4 linked regions of the Saccharomyces cerevisiae S288C genome follow. The protein of the gene in region 3 binds, or shares a complex with, the protein of the main gene of each other region. Each region holds a gene or a part of one and is shown on either strand. Other genes may lie near its edges. A codon is read from its position in the direction of its gene.

Region 1 (3,943 bases), on a different chromosome or scaffold from region 3:
AAAATCTCTACCACTACTTTTAAAAGGCTACATTCCATCTCTGGTCAAGTTACCATTTTTTATATATCGCCTGGGTAAAGAAGTTGATTGGGAGGATGAACAAGAGTGTCTAGATGGTATTTTAAGAGAGATTGCATTACTCTATATACCTGATATGGTTCCGAAAGTCGATACATCTGATGCATCGTTGTCAGAAGACGAAAAAGCCCAGTTTATAAATAGAAAGGAACACATATCCTCATTACTAGAACACGTTCTCTTCCCTTGTATCAAACGAAGGTTCCTGGCCCCTAGACACATTCTCAAGGATGTCGTGGAAATAGCCAACCTTCCAGATCTATACAAAGTTTTTGAGAGGTGTTAACTTTAAAACGTTTTGGCTGTAATACCAAAGTTTTTTGTTTATTTCCTGAGTGTGATTGTGTTTCATTTGAAAGTGTATGCCCTTTCCTTTAACGATTCATCCGCGAGATTTCAAAGGATATGAAATATGGTTGCAGTTAGGAAAGTATGTCAGAAATGTTATATTCGGATTGAAACTCTTCTACAATAGTTCTGAAGTCACTTGGTTCCGTATTGTTTTCGTCCTCTTCCTCAAGCAACGATTCTTGTCTAAGCTTATTCAACGGTACCAAAGACCCGAGTCCTTTTATGAGAGAAAACATTTCATCATTTTTCAACTCAATTATCTTAATATCATTTTGTAGTATTTTGAAAACAGGATGGTAAAACGAATCACCTGAATCTAGAAGCTGTACCTTGTCCCATAAAAGTTTTAATTTACTGAGCCTTTCGGTCAAGTAAACTAGTTTATCTAGTTTTGAACCGAATATTGTGGGCAGATTTGCAGTAAGTTCAGTTAGATCTACTAAAAGTTGTTTGACAGCAGCCGATTCCACAAAAATTTGGTAAAAGGAGATGAAAGAGACCACGCGCGTAATGGTTTGCATCACCATCGGATGTCTGTTGAAAAACTCACTTTTTGCATGGAAGTTATTAACAATAAGACTAATGATTACCTTAGAATAATGTATAACCTTTAGTAGTGAATCTGCGGTATCATAATAAATGAGATACATCTTAAACAATTTCCAGGAAACAGTAGATATTTGAAAAAGTGCAATAAATTTTTGAAATCTGCTGTTATTTGATCTAAAATCTTCTTCCAACGAATCTACTTTGTATTGAAAAATATCGAGCTCCCTCCTTATAGCATCCAATGTTTTTAAGGGAGGTTTAGAACTCTTGTTCAAGTATTGATCTAAATCTCTGTCTAATGAGATGATTTTCCAATACAAGACCTCTGTGCTGTTTTCTTCCCTGTAAACATCAACGTTAGGCAAATCCTGCAAATATGCTGCATGTTGTAATAGGGAGGATACTTCTGTATGAAGTGCAATTGGTTTGCGTGGCCCCGATTGAAGATAATCGCATCCACACAGGCGATAGAATATTCTTCCCAAGGTTACTTTAGCGATGCTTTCAACGGGGTCATCATTAAGTAAAGGTCTAAAGTCATCCACATGAAAATTTTTAAAGGTATGGATGCACTGTGTTAGGAGCGAATTTGCCAACAACGGTTCATCGTAGGGGAAAGTTGTAGTGGCTAAAATCAGATATGCTTGAACGAGCCTTATATCGGGATGCGCCATGAAATCACATTGTTTCAATTGGAATAATGAGCAGCGTGCAAAATTTTGGCACATGACTAATTGCATACCATCTTCCCAATTGAGCCTTTTGTTGCTACCCAAATATTCATGGAGAGGATATACTGAAAATATTTCTGCTAACTTCTCGACTGGCATATAATAAATGCACATGGTAAAGACAGACCATATTAGTGCGTCCCAGTATTTGCCGTCTACACTGTGATTCTTGTCTGCCCTTCTATCCCAGTACTGTTCCACCCTCAAATATAATTCACTGATATCTCCAATGGAACCAAAATACAAAGCACCTAAGTTTTCCATAGCAAAGTTCATCAATTGGAATGATTGGTCTTTTTGAAGATAATTCATCCAAAACATACATTCTTCAGTATCAGTATCCAAATTAGCTGGTGTTCTAGTAAGATCTCTTTGTTTTGTTTTGTACAGCCCAATATTCGTTATCCAATATTCATAATTTTGCCAGAATAACAATAGGTCAGGGAGATATTCCTTGGAAGATGAAGCCGTTATTAGTTTTGTTGATTTCATACATTCGGAGTCCTGTCCTCTCTTCCTGCAGTTTCCACACGGTATCATACGATCACATTTGACTTTTCGCCTCGTACACACGGAACAGGGATGCTTGGATTTCAGTTGAGTGGTACGGTTAAACATTATTATTAGGATGCAAACTCGTGTTCGTAACTTTTGTCATCACCTGCTCTCTGAAGGTTGGTTATAATATTTCATTCTCTTACGCTTAGCTTACATGGCTGCGCGCACTTCATTTAAAGCCGTAAAAAATAAAGATTTCATAGAATATGAAGCTTTGAATCTCATGTAAACATTTATATAACTATGTAACGAATTATTTATCCAATGAAAGATCCACATGGACTGATTTTATTTGTAAATAGTTATCAACGCCGGTGTCGCCTGATTCTCTACCAATACCACTCATCTTAAATCCGCCAAAAGGAACTTTAGCTTCTTCTTGATTGGTTTGATTGATCCAAACAGTTCCTGCTTTAATATCGCGAGCAAACATGTGCGCTTTCTTGACATCTTTGGTGAAGACCGCAGAGGCGAGCCCGTAGCAAGTATCATTAGCCAGCTTCAGAGCGTCATCATAATTTGTGAACTTGCTAACAACCACAACCGGGCCAAATATTTCATCACGCAGCAACTTAGATGTTTCTGGTACATCAGTGAAGATGGTTGGGGGAATGAAGTAGCCTTTAGCTCCACCAATAGGAAATTCAGAGGTCTGGAACATGTCCAACTTTTCCTCCTTTTTACCACGTTCTATGTAACTTTTGATGCGGTCATACTGTGTACTTGATATAACTGGACCAACGATGCATTTCTCATCAAACGGATCAAATTTTCCTGCAACATCCCACTCCTTCTTTGCAGTTTCTTTAAACTTTTCAACAAACTTGTCGTAGATCGAACTTTGAACATAAACTCTTGAGTTTGCAGTGCAGATCTGTCCCGAATTAAAAAAAATACCATTTGCTACCCATTCTATAGCCTTATCAAGGTCTGCATCTTCAAATACAAGAGCAGGAGACTTACCACCGCATTCTAGTGTGATATCCTTAAGGTTCGATTGGCCGGAAGCTTCCAATACTGAGCCGCCAACCTTAGTACTTCCCGTAAAAGATATTTTGTCGATATCCATGTGGGTTCCTAAAGCTTTCCCCACAACGGAACCATAACCAGGAATGACATTGACAACACCAGGTGGAAAACCTGCTTTTTTAATTAAAGTAGCAAAATAAAGTAGAGATAGAGAGGTATTTTCAGCAGGTTTGATGATAACCGTGTTACCGGCCGCTAAGGCACCTTGCATTTTTCTACAAGCCATAGCTAGAGGATAATTCCATGGAACGATTTGAGCAACAACGCCAAAAGGAACTTTTAGAGTATATGCAAACTTGTTAAAAGTCAATGGAATGGTTTCACCCATATTGAACTTGTCGACCGCCCCCGCATAGTATCTTGTAAGTTCTATAATCTGGGCTAAGTCTTGTTTAGCATTGGAATGGAAAGGCTTACCAGCGTCTAAAGTCTCTAATGCGGCAAGTGTGTCTTGCTCCTCCTCAATAAGTTTTAATAAGTTTGAAAGATAAATACCACGTTGCTCAGAAGATGTCTTCGACCAAACGTTATCAAAAGCAGCCCTGGCAGCTTTCACAGCTTTGTCTACATCCTTTTCGTTAGCTGCTTGGAAGGATGTTATCGGTTCGCCAGTAGCTGGGTTCACAGTTTCGATGGTCTTTCCATCT
Region 2 (3,995 bases), on a different chromosome or scaffold from region 3:
TTATTCCCGGAGGAGAATCTACGTCGATGTCCCTCATCGCTCAAAGAACAGGCTTATATCCTTGTTTATACGAATTTGTTCATAATCCGGAAAAGGTAGTTTGGGGTACTTGTGCTGGTCTCATCTTTTTAAGCGCGCAATTAGAAAACGAAAGTGCCCTAGTAAAGACTTTAGGTGTGTTGAAGGTCGACGTGAGAAGAAACGCATTTGGAAGACAAGCTCAATCTTTTACACAAAAGTGTGATTTTTCCAATTTCATACCTGGCTGTGATAATTTTCCTGCTACATTTATTCGCGCACCCGTGATCGAGAGAATTCTTGATCCTATCGCGGTTAAAAGTTTATATGAATTGCCAGTGAATGGAAAGGATGTGGTTGTAGCTGCAACGCAAAATCATAATATCCTTGTGACTTCTTTTCATCCAGAGCTTGCTGACAGTGATACAAGATTTCATGATTGGTTTATCAGACAGTTTGTTTCTAATTAAAATACCGCCGGTTTTCCACATTTTTATATTACCAAAACCTGAGAGATTTTTTCACATCGATAAATCTCTACTCGTTTACTATCGAACAATGCTCTAGGTACGATGATATTGTTAAAAACTTCAGATACATTTTGTAGCTTGATATGGTTCAAAGTCCGAAAAGATAGCCAAACTATTGCTTGACATCGAAGGTATGTTATTTGATTAATTTCACTTTTGTCAAGCTCTTTTATTCTTGTGTGTCGTAAATTAAAAAATTTTGTGAATTTACTATCATCTTCCTTTATGTACAACGATTTAAAAGTTCTCTTATCGACTTTTAGTTCCTTTAGTATATTTTCCTCGATGTTCCACCACTTGATTTTACTTACACGTTTCATTGTCAGAGATTTAAAATTTTTGGGAAAGACAATGCTATTCAGGTCGATGTAAGCTACTCTACTTAATACAAGCTTTTGCAAGTTGTCCCATCTTGTAAAGTCAGCTAGTCCGGTTCTGGAAATTTGATTCATGCGTGATAGGCGTATTTCATTTATCCTACGTTTCACTATGTAACTAATCGTTTTACCAGGATTGTCTCTGAACCCATGAAAATTTATTAGCAACTCATATAATTTCTCTCCTCTCACAGTGATCTTCCGCAGGCTCTTCATGGATTCCATACTTCTTATTGTTCTTATAACAGAAATACTTGTTAGTTGGTTGTGCGTTGCTCCCACATTGCCATTATCTGAATGTGATCTTTTGGATGCTGACCTTTTCTTGTTTTTAATTGTGGAGCTAGGTGAGGAGTTTTCGTCAGAATTAGCTCCACTAACATCAACATCTTTCTCTTCTCCTACTTCTTCATCTTGTCCAAATTGTACCTCCCCGATTGTTGCGAATAAATCTTTCTGTTCTAAAATTGATAAGCATTTGTCTACTAGTTGTGGAGTTAGATTATCAATGTTGAATTGAATATTACTTACATTAAGTAAGTCAAGCTCGTCAAAAGCAACACTGTCTATCACCCACTTCTTGTACTCTTTAAAAGTATACCAAACTTCTAACATACTGGCCTTATTGAAGTAGGCCAGTCGAAGTTCATTATCAAGGTACGTCCATTCTAATGCATCTATAAGCGTTCCGTCATAAAGATGGTTTACTTTGAAACAGTCCAAAACCAGGCAATCATAGCGCAACCAAAATGCATACTCAAGCCATTTTTCAATGAGTTGCGGAGAGTATTCGAAAATGTTCAAATACGTGGCAAAAACAGGATACATGTATCTCAATAATTTCTTAGATCTCTTAGACCTTTTATAACTTGGTTTTCCTGGAAGCTCCACATCATTAGATTTGTATAATATATCTATTGGGTAGGGATGTGCTCCGCAAAAATTACCATCTAAATGGAAGTAAACTTCTTTTCTAATGTCAATTGGTAACTCTAAGAATCTAACAGGATTGAAAGAAGGCATCAAGCGACATGGACTTCTGGGGACTCACAGTCAGCTTTCTGTTGATAGCATCTCATCTCACAATGTTTTGTTTTCAAGCCCTCGAAGGTAGTTAAACGCGAAAACGTATCAAAATGCAAAGCACTCTAAAATGAAATTTATACAGGTTCCTTTTTTCAATAAAAAGAGAAGATATTATTTTTTTCGATTACAATGAGAAAGAGATATATATGTATGCCTGAATATCTATAAAATAGATACAAATTAAAATCTATATGCTAATATTTCCTTAACTCGTTAAAAGTTGAAGCATACCTTCAATTCTTTGAGCTTCTTTAGACTTATGAATTTCATGTCTAACTTTAGTTTTCAAATCTATCATCAATTCTTGAAGAACTGGAGAGCTTTCTAACGTATTCCCATATAATTCTAAAACCACGGCGACCCAATCCGCTACAATAGATGCTGATCTCACATCTTCAATACCTTTTAAGCACCAATTCAGTAGCGGCTCTAATGTAGATTCATCTCTACCATATAGCGCTACACGAACTTTGCCACGTTTGCGTAGTTCTTGAAGAACAGTAAGTGTCAACTCTTTGGCCATACCTGGTACAAAGGCATTGTCGAGTGCTTCGCTCCATTTAAACTGATTTATGTTCCTTTCGAATGCACGCATACGACGTTGAGATCTTACCTTATCATTGTGGATTATATGCTCTTGATCACCTTGGTATTCCGAGCCTCGCATCATTCTCTGGAAGTTATTACTTTTCGCATTCTTATTAAAACTGGCGGGTGCGTTTTCTTTATCGGAAGAACGTTTCTCTTTCTTTTTAGTTCTAATGGCTAGTAGTCCTGATGATAAACCTGCTACTAAATGCCTATTCCCTTGTGCGGTACTAGGGGAGACAGCACAACTTAGTACGGGACCCGAAAATTTCCAGCCAAATTTGACTTGGAAATTGTCTAAAGGATCAAAGACTTTGACATGACCATCTAAGGAAGAAGCGATCAACGCCGATTGCATTGGAGAATCAAAATTTTCAACATAGTCCAAGCATGTCACAGCCTTATTGAAATTGCCACGTTCGTATAATTTCTTGTTACTGGTCAAGTCCCACACTTTGAAATTATTGCCACCGCAAGAAACAATTTGGGTTGGAGATACTGCAATAACATTTTCAACAGGTTGGTCATGATTCAGAGAATAAATTGGCGTGGATCCGCTAGATCTTGTGTCATATAATCTGATCAAACCGTCGTATGAGCCTGTTGCAACCAAATGTGGGGCTGCTGGGATAAATGATAAGGTACGAACATAGTCAGTAGCTCCGGTGAGCTCTAATTGTGGCTCATATGCGTTGGATATATCCCAAAGTCTTGTCACTCTATCGTCACTCGCCGTAGCCAGAATTTTGTTATCTTGCGTATGGAATTTCGTAACATGTGTGGGATGTGTGGAAGCGTTTATAGATAAAAGGATAGTCCTGGGATTATAACTGTCGTATACAGACACTAAACCGGTAGCATCACCGGCACAAAGCAATTTACCATCACTCCTAAAGGATGCAGAATAGACAACATCTTTAAATCTTGAAAAGGTCTTGATCACTTGCCTAGTTCTTGAAGAAAATATTTGAACTCTGGTTGAGGAAGTTACTGCAAAATCATGAGGATGTTGAGGATTGAATGATATGTGAGTAACGCTATTATGTTCTTTAACCAGTTGTGCGGAAGTGTATTGACGCCAGTAACGCTGCTCCGGGGTAGTCTGTTGAGGCAATAATGGAGCCTTCGAAGTGATTATTCTAGGCCTAGCAGTCGACATTTTATTTCTATATTATGATCCTTAGGCCTGTTCTTAGCAAAAACTGTTTCAAGGGACTTCTATTAGTGATGGGCATCGTTTTTTCTTCAAAGCTCGAAAGTTTTCAAAATTTTTCAGTTATTCCAAAAATTTTCAAAAGATAATTATCACTAATTACGAGGTATGTAGGTCACAGAACGTTAAATATTATGCTTACTTGGGGTGAATGACTAGAAACTGGAGGTGTATCAATACTAG
Region 3 (2,929 bases):
AGCTAAGATGTCGTTAACAAGTAGTAGAGTTTGCGTGAATGTATGAATATTTCCCTTTTTCCTTAAAAATTCCTTGCATTTTGGTAATCGTGTGTAATGATAAGGGCGTTATTCGACTTATATGAGCATGGGGTATATTATTGAGGTAGTTAATACTAGTCATCGTAAAAGCAGAAGCACGAAACAAGGAGGCAAACCACTAAAAGGATGGCCCCAAATCAAAGATCACGTTCGCTTCTGCAGAGACATCGAGGAAAGGTACTCATTTCATTGACTGGAATAGCTGCTTTATTTACCACAGGGTCGGTGGTAGTGTTTTTCGTGAAGAGATGGTTGTATAAACAGCAGTTACGGATTACTGAGCAACACTTCATCAAAGAACAGATCAAAAGAAGGTTCGAGCAGACACAGGAAGACTCGTTGTACACAATATACGAGCTACTTCCTGTATGGAGAATGGTTTTGAATGAAAACGATTTGAATTTGGACAGCATCGTTACCCAATTAAAGGACCAAAAGAACCAGTTGACTAGAGCAAAGTCTAGTGAAAGCAGAGAAAGTTCGCCGTTAAAAAGTAAAGCTGAGTTGTGGAACGAGTTAGAACTAAAGAGTTTGATCAAGCTGGTGACAGTGACGTACACAGTATCGTCGCTGATTCTTTTAACAAGACTGCAACTAAATATCCTGACAAGAAACGAGTACCTGGACTCCGCAATAAAATTAACCATGCAGCAGGAAAACTGCAACAAACTACAGAATAGGTTCTATAACTGGGTTACATCGTGGTGGAGCGATCCGGAGGACAAAGCGGATGATGCAATGGTAATGGCAGCAAAAAAGTCAAAGAAAGAAGGCCAGGAAGTGTATATTAATGAGCAAGCTTTCCTATCACTATCATGGTGGATTCTTAACAAGGGGTGGTTGAGTTACAATGAAATAATTACAAATCAAATCGAAATTGAATTTGACGGCATACACCCAAGAGATACTCTAACGTTAGAAGAATTTAGTTCTCGTCTCACGAACATATTCCGGAACACGAATTCCCAAATATTCCAGCAAAATAATAATAACCTCACGTCTATTTTGCTTCCTAAAGATTCCAGTGGACAGGAGTTTCTTCTGTCACAGACGCTTGACGCGGATGCTTTAACAAGTTTTCACTCTAACACACTAGTTTTTAATCAATTGGTGAATGAACTGACCCAATGTATCGAAAGCACAGCAACATCCATAGTGTTAGAGTCTCTAATAAATGAATCATTCCATTTCATAATGAACAAGGTCGGCATAAAGACAATAGCCAAGAAAAAACCTGGCCAAGAAGATCAGCAACAGTATCAAATGGCAGTTTTCGCTATGTCGATGAAAGACTGTTGCCAAGAAATGCTTCAAACAACTGCCGGGTCTTCCCATAGCGGCAGCGTGAACGAATACCTGGCCACTCTGGATTCTGTGCAGCCGCTCGATGATCTGAGCGCCAGCGTATACAGCAACTTTGGCGTCTCCAGCTCGTTTTCCTTCAAGCCTTAATCTCTGAATAAGTACTGACACTCACACCAGAATATATATATATATAGCGTAATCTTTAATACAGTAAGTGTGCAATAGGTAACATGACATTACCCTGCAGCGATTTAACGGGCGTCTTGGAGAAAAGAAGAGAAAGGGAAGAAATAGGTTGATATATTGAGGGCAGAGAAAGTGATAGCCCAACGTTGGCAAAGATATAACAGAAAAGACGTTATAAACAATACAGGAATACTAACAAACGTAGCGCAGATATGGTGACTTCTAATGTTGTCCTAGTGAGTGGTGAGGGTGAACGATTCACCGTAGACAAGAAAATCGCGGAGAGATCCCTGCTATTGAAAAACTATCTGAACGATATGCATGACAGCAACCTACAAAACAACTCAGATTCAGAATCAGATTCAGACTCGGAAACGAACCACAAAAGCAAAGACAACAATAACGGTGACGACGACGATGAGGATGACGACGAGATTGTGATGCCCGTGCCCAATGTTCGGTCTTCCGTTTTGCAGAAGGTTATCGAATGGGCCGAGCACCACAGAGACTCTAACTTCCCTGACGAAGATGACGACGATTCCAGAAAGAGTGCTCCCGTGGACTCATGGGACAGAGAATTCCTGAAAGTGGACCAAGAGATGCTATACGAAATTATTCTGGCGGCAAACTACCTCAACATCAAGCCCTTGCTTGACGCTGGCTGCAAGGTGGTTGCTGAAATGATCAGGGGAAGGTCTCCCGAGGAAATTAGAAGAACGTTTAATATCGTCAACGACTTCACTCCAGAGGAGGAGGCTGCCATTAGGCGTGAAAATGAATGGGCTGAAGACCGTTAGCCTACATTTCCTCTGATGACTGTGATCCTTTCTTCCGATGATAATGCGCCATTTCAGAGCAAGATAGGCAAAAATAAGCAAACAAGGCTTGCTGTCATGCAATGTGTACGTTAGTCCACCATAACCAAGCATGTATGAATTATATATGTATACAGTTTACATAAACTTCAAACTACAATAAGATGTGTGGTCCATCGTCGTGTGTAGCGATAGGCGTCTTCTAAAAGCCGCAAAAGTGACAAGAAGAAAAAAGGAAAATTATTGAGTTATAAAAGCTATTGTTTACATGATGAGACGGGATAAATTTAGGACAGATAGCTGTAAACACTCCGTTTTGAATCATATTTGTGAAATATTTGGTCTAAATTTTAAGTCAAGTTTATTTTCTTCGAGCATTTCAACACCAGCTTAACCCTTTGCTTTAAATTATTCATCTAAAATAGGGTATATTGATTGCTAATCACATATAAATATATAGAAGCAGCAGCTGTACAGATATCCCTAACCAATGAGGGATGAAGCTACTCGCAAAAAAAGGTCATTTAGTGATGGTCATTTTT
Region 4 (4,488 bases), on a different chromosome or scaffold from region 3:
CTCAAGAGAATATCGATCTTTTTGAAAAACTGAAAACGGAACAGATGTTTCAAAACATAACGCTTGATAACTTGAAAAAAATCAGCAGAATCAACTTCTTAACGTTAAAAGTTCAAGAAAACTCTTGGGCCAAGAACCATCAGGAATATATTATTTAAAAAATGGTTGCTACTTTCAAGAGCATCGATTTCTTATTTGGCGCGTAAAGAAATTTTAGTCACTTCGGTTATTACGCATTTTTCCAGCTTTTATTTCTTTGATTGCTTTTATATTTTTTTAGATCATTTTCAAAACTTTCTTAAACCCTTCTCAACTAAAAACTTGTACTTTCCATATTTTCAGGGAAGAAACATTAATTAATAAACGGCACCCTTTTTGTAAACACAATTAAAATTGAACATACAAGCAGTTTAGCTGCAGTTTATATTCAATAAAATGTACGAAGTTGTTATTGTACTTTTTTACTGATTATATAACTACTTATTAAGCTATATTATCTAAGTATGAGTCAATGCTTATTCTCTGGGAAAGGTCATGGTATTATAGTTGTCCTCGTTAGACCCAAAGAAGTAGAAATGGATTCCAAAGACGACGACGAGGAGTTTACGGGATTGCTAACGTAGTTAATTTTTGAAGCTTTGCTGAAATCCAGAATTTCTAAAAAGCTCTGTCCATCTTTTTCAACTGCTGCAACAAGTGTTTTGCCCTTAAAATTAACCGACCAAATCTGATCAGCATCTTTTAGAATATTTGCGTGGACCAATTTCCCACTCCGTAGATTATAGATGTTGAACTGATTTTCCGATCCACTCACCAAAATATTATCCGATACATAAAATGTGGTAATTGCACTCAAATTGGTATGATGGTAGGAAAATTTTCTAGAGTAGTCGTTTGCGTCCCAACCCCTTATTGAACCGTCTGCAGCGGCACTGACCAAAAATTTGTCGGATAATCTTAATAAACCGACCAAAGCTGTATGACCCTGCAAAGTGTACATAGCACCAAGTATTTTGGCGCATGGCGATGCTGAATTTGTTGCGTAGGAACATTCTCCATTATTCCATATATTTTCCAAATCCCAAATTCTAATAGTGGTATCCATACTGGCAGAGATGCACCTTTTTCTTTCATGATCGTAGATTGTCGAATAAATACGATCCGTATGTCCACTTAAAATATACAAACATTTCATTTGCGCAACATCCCACACAATCAGTGTATTATCATAGGAGCCACTAACGACAATATTACCGTGGCCTGAGACAGTTCTTACAGATGCCATATGTCCTCTTAAAACACCAACAAAATATGGGTTCTCCTCAGGGGTATGAAAGACTAATGGATAATCATGTTCTTCCCCATGATCAGGAACGGAGGACTCCTTGGGCAATTTCCAAACGTGCAAAGTGTTATCTCTCGAACCAGTAACAATGTACTTGATATTTTTATATTCTACTATATCTAGGCACCTCACCGTAGAGTTATGACCTTTAAACACATGGGTACAACAACCTTTCTTAATATCCCAAACTCGCACCGTTCTGTCTGTAGAACCGCTGACTAAAATACCGCCATGGGCATACTTCAATGCCCAAACCCCACCATCATGACCTGATAGTTGTAGAAGAAATTTCTTGTTTATCGAATCATAAACTCTGATCATTTTGTCATCAGCCCCCGTAATGACATAATTATCTTCAAATTGCAAGCACGTAATAACACTCGTCATATGGCCTCTTAACGTGGTCCTTTGTGGTACAAACTTGGGATTGTACCAATTTTTTAAAATGAATATATTCTCCAGAAAAGATAATCTAAGGCGATCTTGTTGTGAGAGTTTTGGGTATTTTTGGGAGAGTTTGAGATTGAGAGAATTAAAACCCTTTGGGCTCACAAAATTTTCCGATATCAGAAGTTTTTTCCACAACGATGTAGATTTTCTAATTATTTTGTTCCAATTTTGGGAGACCCCAAGGGAATTTATAATATCCTCGAATTGCAAATAATTGAAAATTTTCAAACTTATTTCAAAAGGCAAAGACGTTATTAGGTCCCTCTTTAAATTATCCTTGATTAAAGTCCCCAAGTCGGATAGTTCACTCCTATCCATGTTGGCAACTAATCTAAATAATAAATTTTTGAAGTATGCGTGAGGGAGATTATTGTTTATTGCGCTGAAAATCTCATCAGAAAGGTATTCAGGGGAGATTATAGAATCTTTGGATTCTATCAAATCGGCGATATTATTATTGTTGTTGATAGTTTTCGTAGTTTTAGCTAAAGGAGTTGTGGTACCTGGAGAGGAAGCAGTGGGTGATAACGGCAGCGCTCCTTCCTCCATAGGATTGTTAATAGTAGCACTATTAACATTGTTACTAACATCACTGCCAGTTATTGTTGCCGCATTGACGGTAGTGGGAGCAGCAACATTATGAGATGCCACTCCCATGTTTACACTCAATGTAGAAGGTGCGGCAGAACCATCATCCACAGACATCAAAAGTTTTTCTGCATCGTTGGATATATCTGTTAAATTGTGCAGACCGTCATTATCCACAGACGCTGCACCGGTGTTCTGTAAGTTAACTGGATGGAGGGTTTTGTGATTATCATGTTTTACCCTTTTGAAATCACTGCGTTCAGGAGTGGATTCGCCAGAACCAGCTGCTCTTTTCCTCTGATACTCATCGATATCTTCTTCGCCGTCTTCTGTCTCAACTGTCTTAGCCGTGGACGAGTTTCGATGAGTGCCAGCGGCAGTAACAAGCGCAGTAACACTACCTGAGGAAGCTATACCGCCAGACACACGGTAGCTATAAGGAACAGGGATATCACGTAATGGAAACTCAGCTAAGGGAAACGACCCCATCGTACAGCGTAATTTTTGCCTTTCTTTGATTCTTTATGCGTAATTTTCTTCGAACCGCAACAAGTTGAATGAGGAGAAGAAGAAGAGAATACTGTAAATAAACGTTTTTTTCCCAAAAAAGACACTATATTTTAAGCACACAGAAAAAGACACGCTTTGTTGAGCAATCTATATTCATATAACAGTGGTAATAGCCTTTCTCTCACAAGATATACAAGCGCTGTGACGTTTTAACGTATTCAGTATTATTTCAACAGGCTTTTTTGTTTCGTCCACCTGACCGAGCCGGCAGCTGGAAGAAAAAGTTTACTTTAGTCATGATAATCAAAAGACTCTTTCTGAATTGCTTTTATCACTCACTACAAGAGAGTCGATAAAAAAACCCAAAACATTTTAAAGTAATGGCTCAAAGTAAAAGTAATCCTCCTCAAGTGCCTTCTGGCTGGAAGGCTGTTTTTGATGATGAATACCAGACTTGGTATTATGTAGATTTATCTACGAACAGCTCTCAGTGGGAACCACCAAGGGGAACAACATGGCCAAGACCCAAAGGTCCTCCACCAGGTGTTAACAATGAGAAGAGTTCTCGTCAACAGGCAGACCAGGCTCCTCCACCTTATTCTTCTCAATCAACACCGCAAGTGCAAGCAGGGGCCCAAGCACAGCAACCTCGTTACTATCAGCCTCAACAGCCTCAGTACCCTCAATACCCTCAACAGCAGCGTTACTATCCTCAACAAGCCCCTATGCCAGCAGCAGCACCACAGCAAGCATACTATGGAACTGCGCCAAGCACCAGTAAAGGTAGTGGACACGGCGGTGCCATGATGGGTGGTTTACTTGGTGTTGGTGCGGGTTTGTTAGGTGGAGCTATGCTAGAACACGCATTTGACGACCACAACTATGACGGACCAGACACTGTCGTTGTCGAGAACAATTACTACGGTGATGATGCTGGTGGGTCCGACGGCGGATTTGATGATGCTGGTGGGTTCGACGGCGGATTTGATGATGGATTTGACGGTAGTGACTTTTAATGTTATCAAGACTTTTTGGACAAGGACGATAAAATGATATAAGCTCATCAAATCTATATTGCTTGCTGCCATCTAAATATGGATACATACAGATATATACTTGCAAAGATCGGTCCATTATACTACATAGAAAGCAATTAAAAGATAAAAAAACCCATCATGATATTCTACGCTTTTTTACTTAGCCATGTTGTTGAATGTAGCTTCAATTACTTCTGTCTGTCTAATTTATTGCTACTTTTTCACTTCTAAGTGAACCATCACAACACATATAGCATAGTCGAGAAAAAAATCAATAGCTATTACTAGATGATAGATACCGTATATGCCACCTACAGCTTACTAGAGAGCTTCCGGAATGATAGTATCATTTATCAAACTACCGGTATGGTTGTGTATTGACTGCGCCTCTCAATCTATGAAGCAGCACCACGCCTTATCGTGGCTATGCGCGATATGACCGAGCTTTACAACATACTTTTCAATAAGCCGTTCTTTGAATAATGGACCCTTTCCTATAACCTAGTGCGCGTTTAAGGTGTTTTGTTCCAATAATAGAAGCACCTATCCACATACTTC

Evidence for each region.
Region 1: the proteins of SKP1 (region 3) and CEP3 are in contact, whole or in part, in a cryo-EM structure (PDB 6GYU), measured with the Saccharomyces cerevisiae proteins. Residues at the interface, in NP_010615.3 of Saccharomyces cerevisiae: Leu27 (codon at 1,863), Leu28 (codon at 1,866), Lys30 (codon at 1,872), Asn31 (codon at 1,875), Tyr32 (codon at 1,878), Asn34 (codon at 1,884), Asp35 (codon at 1,887), Met77 (codon at 2,013), Pro80 (codon at 2,022), Asn81 (codon at 2,025), Asp104 (codon at 2,094), Glu105 (codon at 2,097), Asp106 (codon at 2,100), Leu136 (codon at 2,190), Asn139 (codon at 2,199), Tyr140 (codon at 2,202), Asn142 (codon at 2,208), Asn171 (codon at 2,295), Ile172 (codon at 2,298), Val173 (codon at 2,301), Asn174 (codon at 2,304), Asp175 (codon at 2,307), Phe176 (codon at 2,310), Thr177 (codon at 2,313); in NP_013891.1 of Saccharomyces cerevisiae: Lys11 (codon at 2,297), His12 (codon at 2,294), Ser45 (codon at 2,195), Thr46 (codon at 2,192), Lys47 (codon at 2,189), Arg374 (codon at 1,208), Arg375 (codon at 1,205), Asp378 (codon at 1,196), Gln381 (codon at 1,187), Tyr382 (codon at 1,184), Asp385 (codon at 1,175), Lys400 (codon at 1,130), Leu404 (codon at 1,118), Ala425 (codon at 1,055), Asp426 (codon at 1,052), Leu429 (codon at 1,043), Lys430 (codon at 1,040), His433 (codon at 1,031), Tyr434 (codon at 1,028), Val437 (codon at 1,019), Ser440 (codon at 1,010), Asn444 (codon at 998).
Region 2: the proteins of SKP1 (region 3) and CTF13 are in contact, whole or in part, in a cryo-EM structure (PDB 6GYU), measured with the Saccharomyces cerevisiae proteins. Residues at the interface, in NP_010615.3 of Saccharomyces cerevisiae: Lys30 (codon at 1,872), Asn101 (codon at 2,085), Phe102 (codon at 2,088), Asp104 (codon at 2,094), Asp106 (codon at 2,100), Asp107 (codon at 2,103), Asp108 (codon at 2,106), Asp109 (codon at 2,109), Ser110 (codon at 2,112), Arg111 (codon at 2,115), Lys112 (codon at 2,118), Ser113 (codon at 2,121), Gln128 (codon at 2,166), Glu129 (codon at 2,169), Tyr132 (codon at 2,178), Ile135 (codon at 2,187), Leu136 (codon at 2,190), Asn139 (codon at 2,199), Lys144 (codon at 2,214), Leu147 (codon at 2,223), Asp148 (codon at 2,226), Cys151 (codon at 2,235), Lys152 (codon at 2,238), Val154 (codon at 2,244), Ala155 (codon at 2,247), Met157 (codon at 2,253), Ile158 (codon at 2,256), Arg159 (codon at 2,259), Gly160 (codon at 2,262), Arg161 (codon at 2,265); in NP_013812.1 of Saccharomyces cerevisiae: Ser3 (codon at 1,942), Phe4 (codon at 1,939), Pro6 (codon at 1,933), Val7 (codon at 1,930), Arg8 (codon at 1,927), Phe9 (codon at 1,924), Leu10 (codon at 1,921), Leu12 (codon at 1,915), Asp15 (codon at 1,906), Ile16 (codon at 1,903), Glu19 (codon at 1,894), Val20 (codon at 1,891), Tyr21 (codon at 1,888), Phe22 (codon at 1,885), His23 (codon at 1,882), Leu24 (codon at 1,879), Asp25 (codon at 1,876), Asn27 (codon at 1,870), Phe28 (codon at 1,867), Cys29 (codon at 1,864), Gly30 (codon at 1,861), Arg58 (codon at 1,777), Lys61 (codon at 1,768), Tyr65 (codon at 1,756), Met66 (codon at 1,753), Lys86 (codon at 1,693), Glu89 (codon at 1,684), Tyr90 (codon at 1,681), Phe92 (codon at 1,675), Trp93 (codon at 1,672).
Region 4: the proteins of SKP1 (region 3) and CDC4 are in contact, whole or in part, in a crystal structure (PDB 3V7D), measured with the Saccharomyces cerevisiae proteins. Residues at the interface, in NP_010615.3 of Saccharomyces cerevisiae: Ser113 (codon at 2,121), Asp127 (codon at 2,163), Gln128 (codon at 2,166), Glu129 (codon at 2,169), Leu131 (codon at 2,175), Tyr132 (codon at 2,178), Ile135 (codon at 2,187), Leu136 (codon at 2,190), Asn139 (codon at 2,199), Lys144 (codon at 2,214), Leu147 (codon at 2,223), Asp148 (codon at 2,226), Cys151 (codon at 2,235), Lys152 (codon at 2,238), Val154 (codon at 2,244), Ala155 (codon at 2,247), Ile158 (codon at 2,256), Arg159 (codon at 2,259), Gly160 (codon at 2,262), Arg161 (codon at 2,265), Pro163 (codon at 2,271), Ile166 (codon at 2,280), Arg167 (codon at 2,283), Arg168 (codon at 2,286), Thr169 (codon at 2,289), Phe170 (codon at 2,292), Asn171 (codon at 2,295), Ile172 (codon at 2,298), Val173 (codon at 2,301), Asn174 (codon at 2,304); in NP_116585.1 of Saccharomyces cerevisiae: Asn269 (codon at 2,068), Leu270 (codon at 2,065), Lys271 (codon at 2,062), Arg272 (codon at 2,059), Asp273 (codon at 2,056), Leu274 (codon at 2,053), Ile275 (codon at 2,050), Ser277 (codon at 2,044), Leu278 (codon at 2,041), Pro279 (codon at 2,038), Ile282 (codon at 2,029), Lys285 (codon at 2,020), Ile286 (codon at 2,017), Tyr289 (codon at 2,008), Leu290 (codon at 2,005), Asp294 (codon at 1,993), Ile296 (codon at 1,987), Asn297 (codon at 1,984), Ser298 (codon at 1,981), Leu299 (codon at 1,978), Gly300 (codon at 1,975), Val301 (codon at 1,972), Ser302 (codon at 1,969), Gln303 (codon at 1,966), Asn304 (codon at 1,963), Trp305 (codon at 1,960), Asn306 (codon at 1,957), Arg310 (codon at 1,945), Arg352 (codon at 1,819), Leu353 (codon at 1,816).

The regions. Positions count from the first base shown.
Region 1 is NC_001145.3:596,832-600,774, forward strand, and holds CEP3 (Cep3p), read right to left. Parts: upstream 2,328-3,943; coding exon 501-2,327; downstream 1-500. Other genes in the region: mismatch repair ATPase MLH1, read left to right, coding at 1-364; aldehyde dehydrogenase (NAD(+)) ALD3, read right to left, coding at 2,521-3,943. UniProt on the Saccharomyces cerevisiae protein: Acts as a component of the centromere DNA-binding protein complex CBF3, which is essential for chromosome segregation and movement of centromeres along microtubules. CBF3 is required for the recruitment of other kinetochore complexes to CEN DNA.
Region 2 is NC_001145.3:453,778-457,772, reverse strand, and holds CTF13 (Ctf13p), read right to left. Parts: upstream 1,949-3,995; coding exon 512-1,948; downstream 1-511. Other genes in the region: SNO1 (putative pyridoxal 5'-phosphate synthase), read left to right, coding at 1-488; snoRNA-binding rRNA-processing protein UTP15, read right to left, coding at 2,217-3,758. UniProt on the Saccharomyces cerevisiae protein: Acts as a central component of the centromere DNA-binding protein complex CBF3, which is essential for chromosome segregation and movement of centromeres along microtubules. CBF3 is required for the recruitment of other kinetochore complexes to CEN DNA.
Region 3 is NC_001136.10:1,124,874-1,127,802, reverse strand, and holds SKP1 (SCF ubiquitin ligase subunit SKP1), read left to right. Parts: upstream 1-1,784; coding exon 1,785-2,369; downstream 2,370-2,929. Other genes in the region: PEX3 (Pex3p), read left to right, coding at 208-1,533; YSP2 (Ysp2p), read left to right, coding at 2,878-2,929.
Region 4 is NC_001138.5:114,529-119,016, reverse strand, and holds CDC4 (SCF ubiquitin ligase complex subunit CDC4), read right to left. Parts: upstream 2,873-4,488; coding exon 533-2,872; downstream 1-532. Other genes in the region: WWM1 (Wwm1p), read left to right, coding at 3,274-3,909; AUA1 (Aua1p), read right to left, coding at 3,743-4,027. UniProt on the Saccharomyces cerevisiae protein: Substrate recognition component of a SCF (SKP1-CUL1-F-box protein) E3 ubiquitin-protein ligase complex which mediates the ubiquitination and subsequent proteasomal degradation of target proteins. Recognizes and binds to phosphorylated target proteins.